4 linked regions of the Rattus norvegicus genome follow. The protein of the gene in region 3 binds, or shares a complex with, the protein of the main gene of each other region. Links are inferred from orthologs where the notes say so. Each region holds a gene or a part of one and is shown on either strand. Other genes may lie near its edges.

Region 1 (4,598 bases), on a different chromosome or scaffold from region 3:
TCCCCTTCCTCCCTTCCCCCCATCCCTGGCAGCCAAGGCTCTTACCTCCGCAAACAGAGGAGAAATGATTGTGGACAAGCACTGAGAGAAGGGCCTCTTTGGGAAGTCTTTCATCTTGGAGAAGGAGAGAAGGGACTATTAGAAGCAGGCACCGCTGCCATAGGCAGAATCCTACCAAGGATGACTGGATTCTCCAGCCGCCCCCTGAGGAAACTATTTCTCTCTACAAAGGGGCGCTACCCACGTAGCTGTGAACCCACTGCAAGATGCCAGGCGTGAACGCCCTAGACAAAGACATGAGTGCTCTGCAGGTTTTGCTGAGGAAACCTTAGAGAGCTGAAGCCAGGTACTCTGTCCGTACCGCCAGAGTGAGAGACTCCCACTCTCTCTGAACTAATGAGCTCCTCAGGCCTATGCAGCCACACAGATGGACAGACAAACTCATCTTTAAAACATAACTTTTTGTAAATTTAAGTGGAAAACCACCTCACCAACATTAAGTCTATATTAAGTATCAAAAGAACATACTGATCTTTAAGGGCCTGAAATTAAAATTCCCGGAGGGAAATCAGGGTGTTGTAAGCCCGACAGCTACTCAGAGTTTTCACACGTGAAGCGTCACATCCAAGTCCACCATGTGGCTGAGGGTCAGGAGGACCGTGTTACACAAGGCGAGGGTAACGACTCAGCACGGAGCAGACCGGCACCCACGCTCAGGCCCACATCTCAGTCCTCAGGTGGTCAGACAGAGCTCAATCTCTAACCCGTCAACTCCCTAAGGGCAGATGCCAGCAAGGAGCTGCTTGGAGGGGCACCTCGTTTGCTCCCACAGCAGGCTTATTGTGAACGATTCCCCAGGGCCACTGGCTGGTAGGCACGCTGTACCTTATTTCTTTCCAAATCTGAGGGCTGAAGAGTTCCGTTCTCCAGATTCTTGGGGTCTTTCTCCCGGATGGTAAAGATCCAGTCCCCAGAGTCGCTGCCTCCAGACGCCTGGCTATCTGTCTCCCTTGGAATAGAAATCCCAAGTTCACCAGCACAGACAAGGCCAGGGGCTGCACTGCGCAGACCAATGACCCCCGGCCCCCCACCCCTGGCCCACCCCAACCACTGCCACTGCCACCTCCCGCACACAGTGGCCTCAGCTCTCCTCAGGATCCATCTGCCAATTTACTGTTCGTCTTTCTTGGGTCTCAGTGTCTCCACAGGTTCCTCCTCCTGGCCATGGCTCTTGTCTGTACTCTCTTTTGCTTGCCTGCCCCCCCCCCACCCCAGCTCTACCCCTATCTGCCACAGCTACATACACAGAAGCCCACCCCCAAAGAAGCAGGGTCCAAGAGTGTGCTGCAGGCGTGGGGAGCCCCACAGGGCGACTTACACATCTGAGTCCTCCGAGCTGGAGTCCTCGTGACTCTGCTCCGCCTTCCACCTCTTGTACCTGTCGATGAGCTCAGTCAGGTAGGACGTTTTCTTTGCATTGCGGATTATAAATTTGTGCTTCAATAACTCCTTAGCAGTGGGCCTCTGGAAAACACACGTCGACATAAGCAGGAGAGGAAGTTTCTTCTTCATCCCCCTCTAACAGACAAGACTTTTGGGTCAAAATGCCAGACCACCGTACCACGGAGCAGCCCTGGGTTCTGCTTCTGAGCCTGCTTCTGAGCCTGCTTCCCGCTCAGGCGTGCTGGAGAAGTCATCATACCTGTGCCCAAGTTTACAGGCACAAGGAAAAATGGCACAGAGTTTCCAACAAAGACTGAAGCATCCTACTAGAGCAGTTCACCAAAGCAAGAGAACTCCTGCGAAGAACTCCACAGAGAACCTTGTGAGTACTGTCTGAGAGAGTTCATCTTGTTTTTACTTGGTTTCTCATGGTAAGTGCTGGCTAAGGGAAATACGTGTCGTTATGATCTCCTCCGGTGTTAGACGAATACCAGAAACTGAGTTCACAGGTTCGACTCATCTATGAGGTAGGGGCAGGAGTCAGGAGAGACCTGACTGGCTCCTGGCTGGGTCCCCTCAGTCACCAGCACTCCCTACTTAGAAAAATAGGTCTATGAAGCTATCCCCACACTGGTGACTGGGACCAATAGCTTGATCCCCACCCAGGAATGGCACAACTCCCACCAAATGCACAGAGAGTTTAAGCCAGTGGCTCCCCCTACTGGCATCAGCTCCCGGCTGTGACATCCAAACATCCCAGTGTCCTCAGCTCTGGAGCCCTCGTGTCTGAAGGTCCAGGGTAAGCCAAGGTAGAAGGGGGCATGGTGGGAATGAACCAGCACTGCGTGTGCTTAGAAGAAAATGTACACACATTCGGATCCCTCTTACACTACACTCTGCAGCACCACGGCACAACAACCAACCACCAGGACTGACACCAAAACCACACCCACCATCTGATACCTGACCCAGTACCAAATGCTGACCTGCTGACCTCAGCCTGTAGCCCCTGGGAGCCGAGACTGGGTTGCCTGTCCTTTCTAAATCCTTTGCCAGAACTGGCTCCTACTGGGAGCCACATGATGCTCCTGTGAAATTCATCTTCTCACCATTTTAGACAAAAGCTCACGGGGACCCTCCATGATTATTCTTTGGGTTCAGTGAAGCCTTGGCCCAGCTAAACCCAAAACAAAGCTAGGGCACGGAGGGCTACATGGGACGAAACACACAGGCTGCCCCAGTTCTCAGAGAAAAATGAGGAAAGCTCAGAGTAGCTAAGGCCACAGGCTTTGCCACCACTGAGTAAACACAGAGAAAAGGCAGGGTGGCAGAGTGGGTGGCTCATGTGTACCTACGTGTCTGTCTCCTGGCACATGACAACTGGAAACTGAACATCTGCTTCCTTTATTTTGAGTCTATGCTCTGCTACTGCTGAAGTGGCTTTCTAGTTTTACAGCCTGATTTTTCTCTATCAATATTAAAAACTGATACTCCTACCTCACAATACTAAGTAAAATATTCTTCAGGCTCAATGAATCTAAGATAAAATAATTACATCTTAAATCCCTGAAAGGCAAGAAGGCAACATGGGCAACAAAAACTAGGCATCCATAATTAAAGGGACAGGGAAGTGGGGGAGCCCAGCCGAGGCAGACCAGCCTGGTCTGCAGAGAGTTCTGGGAGGGAGGGAGGGAGGGAGGGAGGGAGGGAGGGAGGGAAAGAAGGAAAGAAAGAGAGAGAGAGAGAGAGAGAGAGAGAGAGAGAGAGAGAGAAATTGAATTCATTTGCCAAGATTCCAGAGACCAGGGAGACGGCTGGAAGAGCAGCTGGCACAAGCCCAACAGAGGAAATGCAGACCAAGCCGACCCCAGGAAGGGCCCGCACTCACGAAGCTGGGCTCCTTGTTCAGGCAGGCCTCCACGAACTCCTTGAGGGGTCTGCTGTAGCTGCCCTCCAGCGTGGGAGGGTTGTTCTTTGGGATAAGGAACAGCACCTTCATGGGGTGCAGCTCAGAATGTGGCGGCTCGCCTTTGGCCAGTTCTATGGCTGTGATGCCGAGGGACCAGATGTCCGCCTGCAAGGACAAAAGCATCTTAAAGGCACGGAAAAGACCCACCTTCAGACAAGCACAAGGGAGGGGAAAGTACGTGTGCTTCACTCTCAGGTTCTGAAAAAGACCGTTATTCTGAACTACAAAACACACAAGCCCTTAGCATGATTTTAACATAGGAAACAAGTGGACAGATTTTATGTAGCAAATGCTACATAGAAATACAAAACTGCTCCAGTAGCGATGCAAACGGCCACGTCTACGGTAGACATCATGCCTGTGTCAGGTGTGCTCAGTGGGGACTTTGCAGCCCTAGCAGCAGCAGCCAACGGAGCAGATGAGGAGGAGGAACGGCGTCCCTTGAGCAGCACCTGGTGCCACGCACTTCGGTTCAGACCAAGTGAGCACCCTGGTCTCAAATCAGCTCTACAATCAGGGTCTTACAACACTAGACAAACAGCTTTCCCTAAGCCCATTGGTCCCCTTGATTTTCACAAGGGAGGTAGTTACAAGGGTGTAGGAAGGGACAACTGTGTATATTACCACTGTGCCTAGAAATTACAGCCTTTGTGTTCTGTTTGATTGCATTTGCAGTGGTGGGCACTGAACCCGGGGCACATGCTCTCCATCAGTGCTACCGAATGTTTATTACAACACACAGACATGGACAGCATTAACATAGTCATACATACAGCACACAACGGTAATCATTACTGTCACTTCCACACAGACTTTGGTAAGGATAGTGACCTGTAATCCCAGCACTCAGGAGACAGAGGCAGCAGGATTGCCACAAGTCTGAGGCCAGCTCAAGCTACATACACAGCAAAATACTGGAGCTTTTTATAGTAGAACCTTGTCTCAAAGAAAGAGACAAACAGACAAAAGCTATCTTGACACCTGCCCCCAGTACTTCGATATGCCAGCCAAGCAGGGCTTGCCTGCATCCTGACACTGGTAGTAGAAATGCAGCTCCTGAACTTGGAGCTTTCCCAGGCTGTGTGCACAGCAGCTGGAGGGCTGGGTGCATGGCGGCTTTCGTGTGGTACTGGGGGCAGCAGCCGGCCCCTGTTCCAGGCAGCACTGCTACCAGAATGGGCAGGGG
Region 2 (4,598 bases), on a different chromosome or scaffold from region 3:
AAGAAGCCTGGGGCCTTTCTTTTTTTTTTTTTTTTTTTTTTTTTTTGGTTCTTTTTTTCGGAGCTGGGGACCGAACCCAGGGTCTTGCGCTTCCTAGGTAAGTGCTCTACCACTGAGCTAAATCCCCAGCCCCGCCTGGGGCCTTTCTATTCCTCAGTTCTTATATTTTCAGCTGTCAAGGATAATAGGGGAAGTAAGGAAGGGTGACAGAGGCTGTTTTCAGAAAACTTAAGAGTTACTTTAATCTTCCCTGTTACTATAAAGATGAGAATAGGTCAGCAACAGCCCTGACTCTCTTATTTGTCTGGGGCTCTAATTGTGCCTACGCCCTAGCCCAGTAGAGGCCCAAGACTTCTTTTAGCATCAACCAAGGAAAGATAAACAGTGATTTGCTTGGGGAACTGACAATTCCTGATAGGTATATAGCATATAGAACAGTGATATGTAGCCTGAGAAAGCCCACAAGCACAAGCCTAAAAGCACGGCAGTGGGTCCTGGGTCACTGAAAGACAAGCCTCAAGAACAAGTTGCTCATTGCTTGAGTCAAAACTTACCAAGTCCAGTGCAGAGCCACCACCCAGGTACTCCATGATAATCCATAGCTTGGTGCTCTGGGAGCAGAGAAACCTGTCAGTGCCTGGGCAGCAAATGAAGCAGGAATACCCAAGTCCACAGGCCACCCCTCTAAGGACACCGAAAGTAGTCAGCTAAGGGCCTGGGACATACAGCAACTATACCAGGCAAGTTCCAAATAGGATAGGGTTCTAGCCCGGCAAGGAAGCTAGAAATGGCACACACCTTATTCCTATACTTGGGAGACAGAGGCAGGCAGATCTCTTGTGAGTTGAAGGCCAGCCTGGTCTACACAGACCCTCTTTAGGAGGAAGAACAGACAAAAGGCCTCTCTGACCACGCACCTACCCATACCTCTGGTACAGACACCTGTTGGACAGACCAACTGCTCAGAGCAGAACCTGAGTCTACTCTGCCCAAGTACCCTCTAAGCAGTCCCCAAAACTATCAACTGCCTGCAGGGACCCCTCACACTGTGTCTAACAATACCCACAAATAGACAGACACTTTGGAACTGGCACTTCTCAAGAGAACAGGCTGCTTTTATAAAGCTGAGATTATCAGGGAGGGGGGACCGCTCTGCCCTTCCACAGGGATTCTAAGTGCCCATAGCCATCTCCTCTGCTCTCTATCCTTGGGCACATATTAATCCCTCTGGAAACAAAGGAGACAGCCTGACACAGACCTTTCAGAGTGCTCCATCCCCAACCACTATAGACAACCTCCTCCTCGTAGGCACCTTTAGGTAGGAGCCGAAGTAGCGAGTGATGTAAGGGCTATCACATTGGCTGAGCACGGTGATCTCCTGTTGGATGTCCTCAATCTCATCCTCGGCCTCTTCCAGGTCAATGATCTTGATGGCCACCACCTCCTTCGTGTGGTTGTCGATCCCCTTGTACACCTCCCCAAATGAGCCCTTGCCAATTCGGTCAAGCTTGGTGAAGAGTTCCTCTGGGTCCACACGAGAATGCTATAGAAGCCAACAGGGAAAGAATGTTGGGACACTGCATGGGCAATAGTCACTAGAGAAATACTAGTCAGACAAGACTGCCCTACTGACAGAGGGCATGACCCACTGTAAGGAACTCAAGGGAACTCACCTCAGTGTGTTTCTGCCCTTATCCCTTGTTCAGAAGACCTAAATAGAACTCTGCACTCTCCAACTGACACTATGGTCAATGGATCTGATAGTGAATCCTGATGTACACTATAAACCTTAGGAAATACCGCATCTCAAGGTGCCTTCACCAGTTGTCTAACAAGGAGCCAGGCTAAGACCTGACAGGAGTCACAGGTAGTGAGTGTGTGTGTGTGTGTGTGTGTGTGTGTGTGTGTGTATTTTAAACCTCATTTTACTGTAAATTTAAAACTGTACTAATAAAAACCAAACAATTAAAATTAACGTGAGCTGAGGACTGAAAAGATGGCTTAGTGGTTAAAAGTACATACTGCTGTTGCAGAGAACTGGAATTCAATTCTCAAAACTGCCTAGAACTTTAGCTCTACGAGATCTGAGGTCTCTGGCCTTGAAGGATCTTCGTGCACACAAACACACACACAAAATTTTAAAATAAATAAAAATAAAATTTAGCTGGATATTGTGGTGCATGCCTTTAGTCCAAGCGCTCAGGAGGCAGAGGTAGGTAGATCTCTGAGTTTGAGGCTAGCTTGGTTTCTATAAAGTAAATTCCAGGACAACTAGAGCTAAACAGAAAAACCCTGTCTTGAAAACGCAAATAAAGGAGAAAAAAATAGAAAAATTAAAGTTTAGCACAAGTTAACTTATGTCTTCCACATTCCTAAAATCTACACCCATTGAAATACTTCTCCATTCCCAAATCAATCCTCTAGCCAGCTACACCCCCATACCAGCACTGCATTGAACACTTTCTCAGATGCTTGACTCTAGATACTCAACACACAATGCTACCCTATGTGGGTCTCGGATTTAAACAAATAAGACCTAATCATTGCTGAACCAACCATGCTGAGGTACCTGGTTTAAAGACCGGTACACTACAAGTGAAGAACCAGGATGGCAAAGGTAAATCCTCTGTCCAAATCACACTACAATATTTGAACTAGGAACTGAGGATACTCCAGGGCTGCACAGATAAGGAAAGAAGAAAGTGACTCCTAGTGCCACCACAGAGTGACCATACCCTGACCTGTGACACCTGTTGGACTGTGGAAAAGCACATGGCCCTCCAAACCACTGGCCAAGCTGCCAAAAGACCTGGGATGGGAAAGTTGAGTCTCATCCAATTTTTCAACGTTGTTAGGTTCTATCTCCATTAGGAAATACTCTCACAAAAAGGATGTCCCCCAAACAGTGTTTTGGTGCCATTTAAAAGGAACCAAACAGGCCTGGTAAGATGGTTCATTTAGTAAAGGTACTTGCTACCAAGCCCAACAACCTGAGTTTGATTCTCTAGACCCACATGGGGAATAAGAGAACGGACTCCCAGAAAGTTGTCTTACAACCAACACATATGGATCATAGGGGCTGTGAGCTGATGTTTTCAAAGAATAGGGTTAGGGAGATAGATAACTCAGTGACCGAGTGCTTGCCTAATATCCCCAGGATTGGGAAGAAAAAAAAAAAAAGCAATACATGAAAAGGCAAAACCACCCTTATTTACAACTGTGTAAGTACTGACGTTCAAATCCCTCTGTGCTTAGGAAGAGCTTGTCCTAGGTGTTTACTTACAAAGCCTGTCCACCAAGAATAAACATGATTGCCTGCTTCCCTGAGGCCTAACTGCCACAGCCCTTTCTCTTGGAGCACAGCAATAGGTCTTAGAGACCTGACTAAACCCAATCCAAGACTTTCCAGGGACATTTCAATCTGAAATTGCTGACTAGCTACATTTCTAAGGTTTTAACCACAAAAGAATAGGGTGACATAGGGGCTGGGGATTTAGCTCAGCGGTAGAGTGCTTGCCTAGGAAGCGCAAGGCCCTGGGTTCGGTCCCCAACTCCGAAAAAAAGAACCAAAAAAAAAAAGAATAGGGTGACATAGAGAACCAAACTACCCAGCCCCTTACCAGCCAAGAACTCTGTAGAATAAGATGAGGCAGACCAGAGACAAGCTTGGGAAGAGCTCCAGGAACAAGGGTAGTGTCTTAACACAGAAGTCACCTGACCTCTCCAAGCAAAACTGCCTTTGTGAGGTCTGAGTATGTACCACTAACCTCCACACAGTTCCCAGGTAGGCACTCTAGGCAGCCCAGCTGTGGCATCCATATGTACCCTACTTTGACCAGGGGGCTGAAGAGTGGTTAAGAGTCCTTGTTGCTCTTACACAGAGCTGCGGTTTGCACTGCACACAATCTCAAGCACTGCCCACATGTGGTGCACATACATATATGTAGATACTCATGCATACACATAAAGGTAAATGAATCTTATTAAAAGGAAAGGGGAAAAAAAAAAAAAAAAAGACAGACCAGGAGGTGGCTGAGTGGTTAAAAGCACATGTCACCAAGTCTAACAACCTGGGTTTGATCCCAACTCACATAGTAGGAGAGAACCAGCTCTCATAAGTGGTCTTCTAACACCTACACATACAGACCTACCCATCCATAAATAAATGTAATTGTTGCTTTTTGTTTTTTAAAGAAAAGAAAAAGGTAGTGCAGTCCAATGCAGAGTGACTGTTCTCACAGCCACATCAGGACTGGAAGCCACATCCTAAGACCAGCTCTCGGGGAACAGCAATAGATGCTTGGAGTAGATCTGCCACCTGAGCTCCTGAAAGGCCGCACTGAGATTGGCCTGACAGAGAAAGCTGAGGATTGCCTGTGTTCCTTAGGCTGTACTGGCCAGGAAGTAGTGTTTGATCCCAGCCACTCCTACTTAAATGAAAAGCCAAGAAAAAAATCTCTAGTGTGGCTGATAGGTCAGACACTTCAGCTATTTCAAGATCAGCACTGGATCCAAGCCAGATCAGAAAGAACCACTCCAGGCCATGGGCTCTCCCCACACTCATCAGTGTAGAGACAACTGATAAAGGTGGATGTGAT
Region 3 (4,598 bases):
GCAGAAGTGAGTAGGGCTCCATATTCCCACACTCTCCCTACAGAAGCTTCCATTCACTTCGCTTGTCTTCATCTTGTCCTTGTACCTCGATAATGCCTACAGGCCCAAGGCAAATACCTTTGTGGGAAAGCAAAGCAAAATCTTGACTTTAACCCCTATCACCTCACCTATAAACCAGGGAGGGAGAAACTGGAGTACTCAGGAGGCAGAGGTAGGAGGATCTCTGTGAGTTTGAGGCTATGAGTTCAAGGACAGCTGCACAGTGAGACTTTGTCTCAAAACAAAAATATCCAAAAAGCCTACCAGTCCCCCCCCGCCTCCCACCCCCCAAAAAAACATGGATAAAATAAGGACTCCTAGGGTAAGAAGCTCACAAAGTTTTGTAGGATGTCAAGCACATTATAGGAATTTCATAATTGTGTGTTAAATCAGATATGTGATCCCTGCCAACTCCTGTGACTTCACATATCCGCAGATCATCTCTGTCACCCCACTCTGAGACAGAACTCCAGCAATATTTAATTAGTTTCCAAATGTTCTCTGTACTTTCTCCTCTGAGCTTTCACATATTGTGTTTTCTGCTTGAATTGGTTTTTCTCTTCCCTGATAAGTCCCATTTGATGGCTTACATCTGTTTCTGAGACTTAGATTAAAAGTTGCCTCTTCTCTACCTCAAGTTGGATTAGGTATTTCAACAGCATCTAGCGCCTATCTACAGCACCCCACTCTACGATTGGGCATTTAGATATCTGTTACAAGACTGTACGGTCTGTAAGAGTCTGAACTGTGTCTCATTTAGAATTAGATCTCAGATTCAGAAAAGTGTTTCACACACAGATGAGTATGGCCAATATGCCCAGTGTCCTTTCCTGAGTGACTGAATTAGTCTAACTTGCTAGGAGTACTCTTAAGAATCTCTAGGCAGTCCTGGAGCTAACCAACAAAGAATATAGAATTTGCACCTTTGTAAGATGACTCCCCACACCCCACTCCATATCCTCACCATACACTCATGCCACAAGTAGCTGGACTCTCTCATTTGGGACAAACCAAGGTGAAGTAAAATACACAGCAGTACGAGGATTCCTGATGGCCCTGTGGTATGAGGAATACTGGGAACTTGTGACGTAGTGTCCCTAGCTGCTCACCTGGTAGATATGGTTGAGTTTGAAGTGTTTGAGAAGTAGAAGGAGCAGGGCAGAGATACTCTTCACAATGATCTCCTTGTGTCTGTTCACATCAATGCCTAGCTTCATGCTCTGGAGAACAGTCGCACTGCAAGGGAAAGAGGAAGCATTAGGAGAAAGGTAGGGATGAAGGACGGATGTCTAGGATCAAAGACCCAAGGAGTTGGGTTAGATAGTCATGGGGATATATATAAAACACACATATCTATCTATCTATCTATCTATCTATCTATCTATCTATCTATCTATCTATCTATCTATCTATCTATCTATCTATCTATATCTATAGTCAGAAGATATATAGTTAGAATTTAGGAAACCTGAACTTCTCTGCTAGGGAAGTCTCCAAAGTTCCCATTTCGGAATCTATCCAGGAAAAAGCTTTCATCATCTTTGTTAATGTGTCCTGTCTCTGGCAAACTTATCCCCTGGCACTGCCTACTCATGCATCTGGCAACTAGTCACCAGCACTGAGGTTTTCTGTTGGACCCTAGTTCTGAGCTACATAGAGCTCAGTAGGTAGAAGGTTCTGCAGGAGACAGGAAGGTACATGTGGAAAAGGAGAGGTTTCTCTTAAGACCATTCCTGTTACCACAGTGCCACCAGTGGGACAGAGAGGGCCTGAAGACAAGACCCTGGTGTCTCGCAGCCGCCCCAGTTGAAGTACTCACGGCATCTCTTCAGGGAGGACATCTGCCAGGATATTGATAGAGTCTGTCTTAGCCTTGGAGGTGGGGGCTGCAGCCAGCAGAATCTTAAGCAGAGCAATCTAAGAGACAGAAAAAGAGGAAAGCCACCATTGTCTATCCCACTCAGCAAAATGGTGGTTCTTCCAAACTTCTCTAGCCCAAATGAAAAGTATTTCAAAGTCTTTATCTAAGATCTTCCCTCAGTGACTAAGCCTTGCATATAGTAATGCAAACAGGTATGTATCCTGAGGTCTGTCTCTGAGGCCAAGGGAGAAGGCCAAAGCAAGTTTCTAGGCTGTTTTGTTTCAGGGTTGCTCCCAAAGTGAACAGAAAGAACAAACTTGGAGGGGCAATGTGGAGAAATAAGTAGGAGAGATAAGCCCAACATCCTCCCTTCTTGTTCTTCCTCTGACCCTATCAGCATCTTCACTATTCCCCGCCAGAGGCTACCAAAGACGTAGTAGAGAATGGCAGACTTATGCTGGTGGTAATTAGCTAGCAGCGGACACATCGTCTGTGGGTGGACCTTACTTTACTCTGCACCCCAGGCCCCAGTAGAAAGGCTAGGGAGAATGGCACCTGCAGAGGAGTCACAAGGGAAGTTCAGATCCTTAGTCCCTCTTAGTAGAAAAGGGCAGCTCTGGTCTAGCCGGCTCCTTACCATGTACTGGGGGAGGCTGTACAGCATGCCCTGGTAGAGGATTTCACTCGGTGTTTCTGGTATCACCTCTTCTCCCTATGGCAGAAAACACAGTTGACTAAAGGTCACATGTTGGTTGCTGAGGGGTAGTGCGAACTGAGAACTGCGATGGGAGTTGGCCCTGGCATGAGTGGCCATTCCTCTTTAGGCTCTAGTTTTTTTCTTTGAGCTGGTTTAGTTGATCTCTGCTATCTTTTTCCAGTCTTTTGAGTGTGCCATTCCTAGTATCTGAAATTAAATCACTCTTTCTGTGTCACAGGCTCAATCAGGAGTCAGAACTCCAATCCAGGAAATGGCTCAGACTACTGCTTTGTTACACACACACACACACACACACACACACACACACACACACACACACACACGATACATATGGGTTTAACCTAAGCTATAAATATATAAATACACTCAACATATTGAGGTATGCTACACAGAGGCACTTCCTATGATGTTAATCAGAGATCAAAAAAGGTAGGTGATTCATTCAATAGGGAGGGTATTGATGGAGTTAAGTAATTCATGATCAGAGAAAAAAGATGAAAAGGAGCTTTTAAAGGGTTAGAAACTAGTTTTCACCCTCTCTCCAGTATCCTTATCATCATCATTTTCTTCTTTCTAAGTGCCCCATGTATATCCCTGTCTTCTTCATGACCCTAATGGATCCCTTTATCAGAAGTAGGGTCTCAGATGCTCAAGAGGCAGTCCAGGCATCACTGAAATCTTTGACCAATGCAGTCCTTTTTCCCTTAAGGACCTTTTTCCCTTAAGTGACTTAGAGTGAGAGTCACTGCTATAAGGCAAGGAGGATTAACTGTGCCAATGGATATAAGCCTTCAATAGTCTTTCAGAAGAGCCTGGTGAGCTTATCATGTGTGCCTTCCTGCTCCCCAAAAGGCTCACTACTTTCTCTCTCTTCAACCAATCCCCTCACCCCAGAGCCCCTCAAGTTGTTGACTCTGCCTCACACAAAGACAGAGTGATGAGAGAGACACCATGTCTTTGGAAGACCAGATTGGCCAGTCTCTGCTTGCCATCTGACATGCAAGAGGACTTCCTGTGCTCTACTCGGGCTTGGGGTCCTTCCTACAATCTTTCTTTCTAAGATGTATTTTCACTATTTTTAATTTTGCACAGTTGTGTGCATATGGGTATATGAATATGAGTGCAGGTGCCGGTGGAAGCCAGAGGTACTGGATCCTCTAGAGTTACATATGGTTGGAAGCTGCCAAGTGTGAGGACTCTGGCCAGCTCAGGCGTGGCCATCATGGCTCTGGCAGGCCTTGCCCTTCTCCCTGATTCCTTCTGCCTTGCTAAAACCATTAGATGACTTTCCCAAAGCTGGCTGCCAAGGTCTATTCCCATTTTGTCCAGTTCCTCCTCCTGAGGCTGACTACCTATCACATTATTGAAGTCTAACAATCAAAAGCCCCCTTTGGCTCTCACAATTGTAATGTCCAATTAAAATCAAACACCTCATCCAAACACACGGTTTCCCCTTTTACCTTTATAAACTGCATTTGCCTATGGGCTACATCTGTTTCCTCTCTATCCAGAGGCAGTCCTTTGTCCCACTCCAGGACAAATACCCTTGACCCCTTGCTCCCTTCTCCTTTTACCTTGTCCTCTATCTCCCGTCTTTGTCTCTTGCTTCTTGCTCTTTGTTCCTCTGGAGCAAATAAATTTCCTTTGTGCTGAGAACTTGGTCTTGGGGTGTCCTGAGCTAATTTTAGAGGTTCCTTACTATGTGGGTGCTAGAAATTGATCTCAGGAACACTGGAATAACAGGAAGTACTCCTAATCACTGAGCCATCCTTCCAGCCTACCTATTCTTTCCTTTCTCTCGATAATGGTTATCAGGTCTTAGTTAGTTGCTCTGTTGGATCATTTCTTTGTTTCTTCCTTCCTTCCTTTTCTTCTTTCTTTCTTTTCTTCTTTCTTTCTTTCCTTCCTTCTTCCCTCTTTTCTCCTCTTCTCTCTCTCTCCCTCCCTCCCCCTCTCTCTCTCTACCAAAAGGGTCTCATG
Region 4 (4,598 bases), on a different chromosome or scaffold from region 3:
AAGTAGGTGACAGGAGAAACCTTTGAAACCTGGGGCTGAGGAGGGAGACTGAACTGTGAAGTTGTCAGAATAAAGTGACCGAGAATACCCATCGTAGGATATTCAATAAATACATGTCTGTTGAAATATGGGGTTTCTTAGAGATGGATTACGTTAAGCCTAAAGCCATTTGTATTTTGAGAAAAGAACATTTTACAATGGAGAAAGAAATGGCCATCAAGCTTTATCAGAAAACCCTACACACATTTTCAAATAAAACAATATTCCAGAGGCACTGAACATATTCTACATGCAATTACACATGAAGGTTTGGTTAAAAAATAAAAAGGCCATACAACTGTAGGTTTTACTCTGAAACACTTCACTTCATTCATTCTTTTTTTTAAAAAAATTACTGGTTGTAATAAATATGGATCTGAGGGTGGGGTCATATTCCCTTAACATAAAGGTAATTTCAGCAGCAAATACAGGCTTGATTCAAATTCCATTCAGTGCCTGAATGAGCTTCTTTTTAAAATTTACATCAAACTAACAAAATATTTAAGGATGATGAAAGATTCTTCAATTAGTATGAAGTCAGAAGAAAAGGGCTTGCAGACTGTAGAAGTCTTCATAAAGACTAACTTTGTCAAGACAAGCTGCAGTGAACGGAGAGGAAAGGAAACCATTGTGGTCACACTGATGTGTTTGTCTGGTTTTTTACTCTTGTTTTTAAAGATGGAGTTCTACAGTGAGCTCAGTCAAAATTAATACCTAGTAAATGTTTGCATGTCTGAAGGAGATCACGACAACTACACACAGTTTTAGAGAACGTATAATTTTCTCCCAAATGCAGTAAATTTTACTCCAGCTTACAGTGAAGCCTTGGTTATGTATGATATCCTGTGTAAATCCCATATCCCGTTTTGCTCAATTAAGTTGACTCACAAACTCCACTGCCATCTGAAATGCACCAACAGGCCCCCAGTACATAGCTAAGTCAGTTGACAAAGCTGTTCCCTCATGGTACTAACAGGATGTGGTCTTAAGTTATGCTGACTGCATTAAACAGAACCCTATTATATTTGATGTGGTTTTAGTTTACAATAAAAATGCATGCCTATGCAATCACAGTATGAAAATATAAATGAGAAATAATGAGTTGGTTAATTTCAGTGAAGTACTTAGCCCACCAGGGTGGTTCAATGGTAATCAAAAAGCTGCACAGGGTAATAGCAGGAGAATCACAAATTCAAGGCCAGCCCAGACTATACTTTAAGGAATAGGATTTAGCTTAGTGGTAATACAACACTCTGGGTCTCATCCTTACACACACACACACACACACACACACACACACACACGTGCATGCATGGGCACCCAGCCCATGCACACATGGGCCTGACTCAATTTTAAAGTAATTTTAAATCAGAAAACAGTTCTAAGTATTGTATGAATATCCACTCACCTCTAACAGCATTTATACAGTTTTATCATGAAGAAAAGGGTTCTTCAAATACCCTTTACAGGACTTCCATAAAGAATTGGTAAAGGCGATAAAAAATAAAAATTCCGTTTTAGCCTTTAGCAAACTAGTTTTCTGTCATGGGCTGCTCCAAATACATTTTCCCATCAGTATTTGGGGAAAACATCAAGTATTAGTTTGCACTATGAAGAGATGAAGTCATTCATAGATGACTAGTGTGTGGATACTCCTAGGCTAGGCTGAAGGGAGTATTTTAAAATATGATCTTTTCCAAATAAAAGCCCATGCAGCTGCAGCACTTTTGTCTATGAGAGGGCTATGAATAAAGGCTTAAAGTATCAAATAAATCCTTGCTACCATGGTATTGCTGATTTAAAATAAAATATATCTAAAAACCCGATTTTACACAGGGTTGATTTAATATTTTAAGCCAGCCACCCAAATTAGCTTATCTGATCTAAGTGCCTAAAAATAGCAAGGGTTCAGGTTTGCTCTAGAGAGAGTCTGGAATGGCCAGGATTCAATCCAGAAAGAGCAAACTAGAAAGAGCACTAACACCTATGAACACTGCCTGCAACCAGGCCAATTGTGAGAACTGGGGGAGAACCTGAAGGTCCTGAGATCGAGAGATAACCCCGAAGAGTCCCATAAATGAATAGGACTTGCTAAGTTAGGTATCTTACTCTGCTTTACTAAGGGATATAACACCTAGGACTAGTCAAGCTAAACTTCTTGTCATCAATGAATTCACAACCCAGTGAGAGAAAAATGCATAGATAACCACTATAACTTAATATATTAAGGGTCATACTTATGTACGCCATCAGTTCTGAGGTTGAGACAGATTAACCTATTAAGAGCAGAATGTGGAAGCCCAGAGGTACAGCTTTTCTGCAGCAAAGAGGCCTTAATGATCACTGATGTTTCTCTTCCACTGTACCAAAAGTTCAGGGATGGAAGAGGGCATATGAACACTGGTGTACTTTCCAGAAGTGGCTGTTAACTCTAACAGTGGTTCAGTTGACACTATAAATGGTACTTGATTCTGCCCAGAGGATAAAGACTGACGATTCCTATTTTATGGCACTGCCTTTTGAGCCAGGCACGGTGTTGCACACCTTTAATCCTACCAGGCAGATATCTCTGAGATCAAGGCCAGCCTGGTCTACATAGTGAGTTCCAGGAGAGCCAGGGCTACCTAGTAAGATCGGGTCTCAAAAGTAAACAAGATACTGCCTTTCTCTGTAGCTGAGATGAGCCAGCAAGCTCTGACAGCACATCCTAGTGATGCCTGCATAGAGGAAAGCCTCTGACGGTGCAAGCCAAGATCCTGGGAACAGGAAACATAATGAAAAAGAAGAATGGGAAAGAGAAAGTAGAGCTGGCCTCAAGGCCCAGAAACGTATCCTTCTCTTTAATTCTGCTAAGAAATACTTTGTTTTCTGTAAGAAGATTCACTCAAATAGAATTGACATATAAACACCTGCATGTATTTAATATTTAAAATGAAGTATTAAGACAGGATACTTTCAAATACCCATTACTAGGAACATCGACAAGGATGGTGAAGAATCTGCCAGACACGTCCTTGTTTTTGGCTCTTTGTAGTAAGTGGGCAGATTCTATCAATTAGTGTGAAGTGAGTATAGGCAGCAAGCACGAGTGAAAGATAAAGGCGCAGCACACGGTCTGTGGTGAGCTCGAGAAAGCTGTGGTTCCTAGGCTGACGTTCTCTATCCAAATAATGGTGAGAAGAAGAAGAAGAATAACAAAGTGTACAAAGGAAGCTTGAGAACATATCTGCTATTTAAAATATTAAAGATACAGTACCTTAAAAAGATACTAGCTTTCAAAAACAGAATTAAAAGAAAGCAAAGCACAATGAAAACAACTTATAAAATAATATAGCATGCATGTTACCTTTAGATAGGACCCATAGTATTTTGTAACATATGAGCTGTCGCACTGACTCAAAACAGTTATCTCTTGTTGGATGTCTTCTATTTCATCCTCGGCTTCCTCAAGGTCAATGATTTTAATTGCAACCACTTGCTGAGTTCGGTTATCGATTCCTTTGAAAACTTCTCCAAAGGAGCCTTTTCCAATGCGCTCTAATTTTGTGAACAGTTCTTCTGGATCCGCGATATTATTCTAAGGGGAAGAAAGAAAAAAAGGAAAAACCTCAATTATCGAAATCATTTTTTTTTCTTTTAGGTTTGTTTGTATGTGTGTTTACCTTTATTTGCCCACATACATGTAAGGGCACCTAGACCACATGTGTGTCTGGTACCTGTGGAGGCACAAAGATGGCATTGGTTTCCCTGCAACTGGAGTAATAGCCGGTTGTGAGCTGTCAAGTGGGTGCTGGAACTGAATGTGTATCTCCAGCAAGAGCAGCTATTGTAGTGCTCTTTTTTTTTTAAAGATGTTTTGTTTTGTTTTATCAAAGCTAACTGGAGCAGCCTTTGGGGATAAACTTAAGTATGTAGAAGGTAACTGGATGAATACATAATGTCAACCGAGGAAAACAACAGCAATAACTTTCCCACCAAGACCTATTATCTTCCCAGCCACAGATTTATACTATCAGATAGAATTTTTTTCTCATGAAGCAGTTCTAAAATTCAATAAGTGGTTGGTTACCCACATCACAGTCACCAGTGAACACACCTTGCCTGGCTGGACCTCAGTCCAGCATGCAAAGTTCACGGGTAAGGTTGGTGAGGATAATTCTCCCCACACAGGCCTGTTCTGACGTTTTGGTACTTAGTCAGCAGGTAAGAAGCTTCTAGAGCAAGGCCAGCTCAGTATGAGTTCCCCATCTTTCAACCAAACTGAATGGTACACACACACACACACACACACACACACACACACAGGCACACACAGACACACACACACACCACACACACACATACAAACACAGACACAGACACAGACACAGACACACACACAGACATACAGACACAGGCACACACAGACACACACACACACCACACACAGACACAGACACACACACACACACACAGACATACAGACACAGGCACACACACAAACACAGACACACACACACACACACTCACACACACACACAGAGTTAGTAGGAATGTGAATCAATCACACACTGGAGTTT

The links.
Region 1: Strip2 (region 3) and Stk24 share a complex: the UniProt entries of both Homo sapiens proteins name them as parts of the core of STRIPAK complex. The link is inferred for Rattus norvegicus from reciprocal best matches to the Homo sapiens genes STRIP2 and STK24.
Region 2: Strip2 (region 3) and Stk25 share a complex: the UniProt entries of both Homo sapiens proteins name them as parts of the core of STRIPAK complex. The link is inferred for Rattus norvegicus from reciprocal best matches to the Homo sapiens genes STRIP2 and STK25.
Region 4: Strip2 (region 3) and Stk26 share a complex: the UniProt entries of both Homo sapiens proteins name them as parts of the core of STRIPAK complex. The link is inferred for Rattus norvegicus from reciprocal best matches to the Homo sapiens genes STRIP2 and STK26.

The regions. Positions count from the first base shown.
Region 1 is NC_086033.1:104,778,218-104,782,815, forward strand, and holds part of Stk24 (serine/threonine-protein kinase 24), read right to left. Parts: intron 3,518-4,598; coding exon 3,332-3,517; intron 1,525-3,331; coding exon 1,379-1,524; intron 1,010-1,378; coding exon 886-1,009; intron 115-885; coding exon 46-114; intron 1-45. UniProt on the Homo sapiens protein: Serine/threonine-protein kinase that acts on both serine and threonine residues and promotes apoptosis in response to stress stimuli and caspase activation.
Region 2 is NC_086027.1:101,614,276-101,618,873, forward strand, and holds part of Stk25 (serine/threonine-protein kinase 25), read right to left. Parts: intron 1,544-4,598; coding exon 1,313-1,543; intron 612-1,312; coding exon 555-611; intron 1-554. UniProt on the Homo sapiens protein: Oxidant stress-activated serine/threonine kinase that may play a role in the response to environmental stress.
Region 3 is NC_086022.1:59,523,310-59,527,907, reverse strand, and holds part of Strip2 (striatin interacting protein 2), read right to left. Parts: intron 2,613-4,598; coding exon 2,538-2,612; intron 1,957-2,537; coding exon 1,859-1,956; intron 1,276-1,858; coding exon 1,149-1,275; intron 1-1,148. UniProt on the Homo sapiens protein: Plays a role in the regulation of cell morphology and cytoskeletal organization. Required in the control of cell shape. Calmodulin-binding scaffolding protein which is the center of the striatin-interacting phosphatase and kinase (STRIPAK) complexes.
Region 4 is NC_086039.1:135,236,496-135,241,093, reverse strand, and holds part of Stk26 (serine/threonine-protein kinase 26), read right to left. Parts: intron 3,617-4,598; coding exon 3,386-3,616; intron 1-3,385. UniProt on the Homo sapiens protein: Serine/threonine-protein kinase that acts as a mediator of cell growth. Modulates apoptosis. In association with STK24 negatively regulates Golgi reorientation in polarized cell migration upon RHO activation.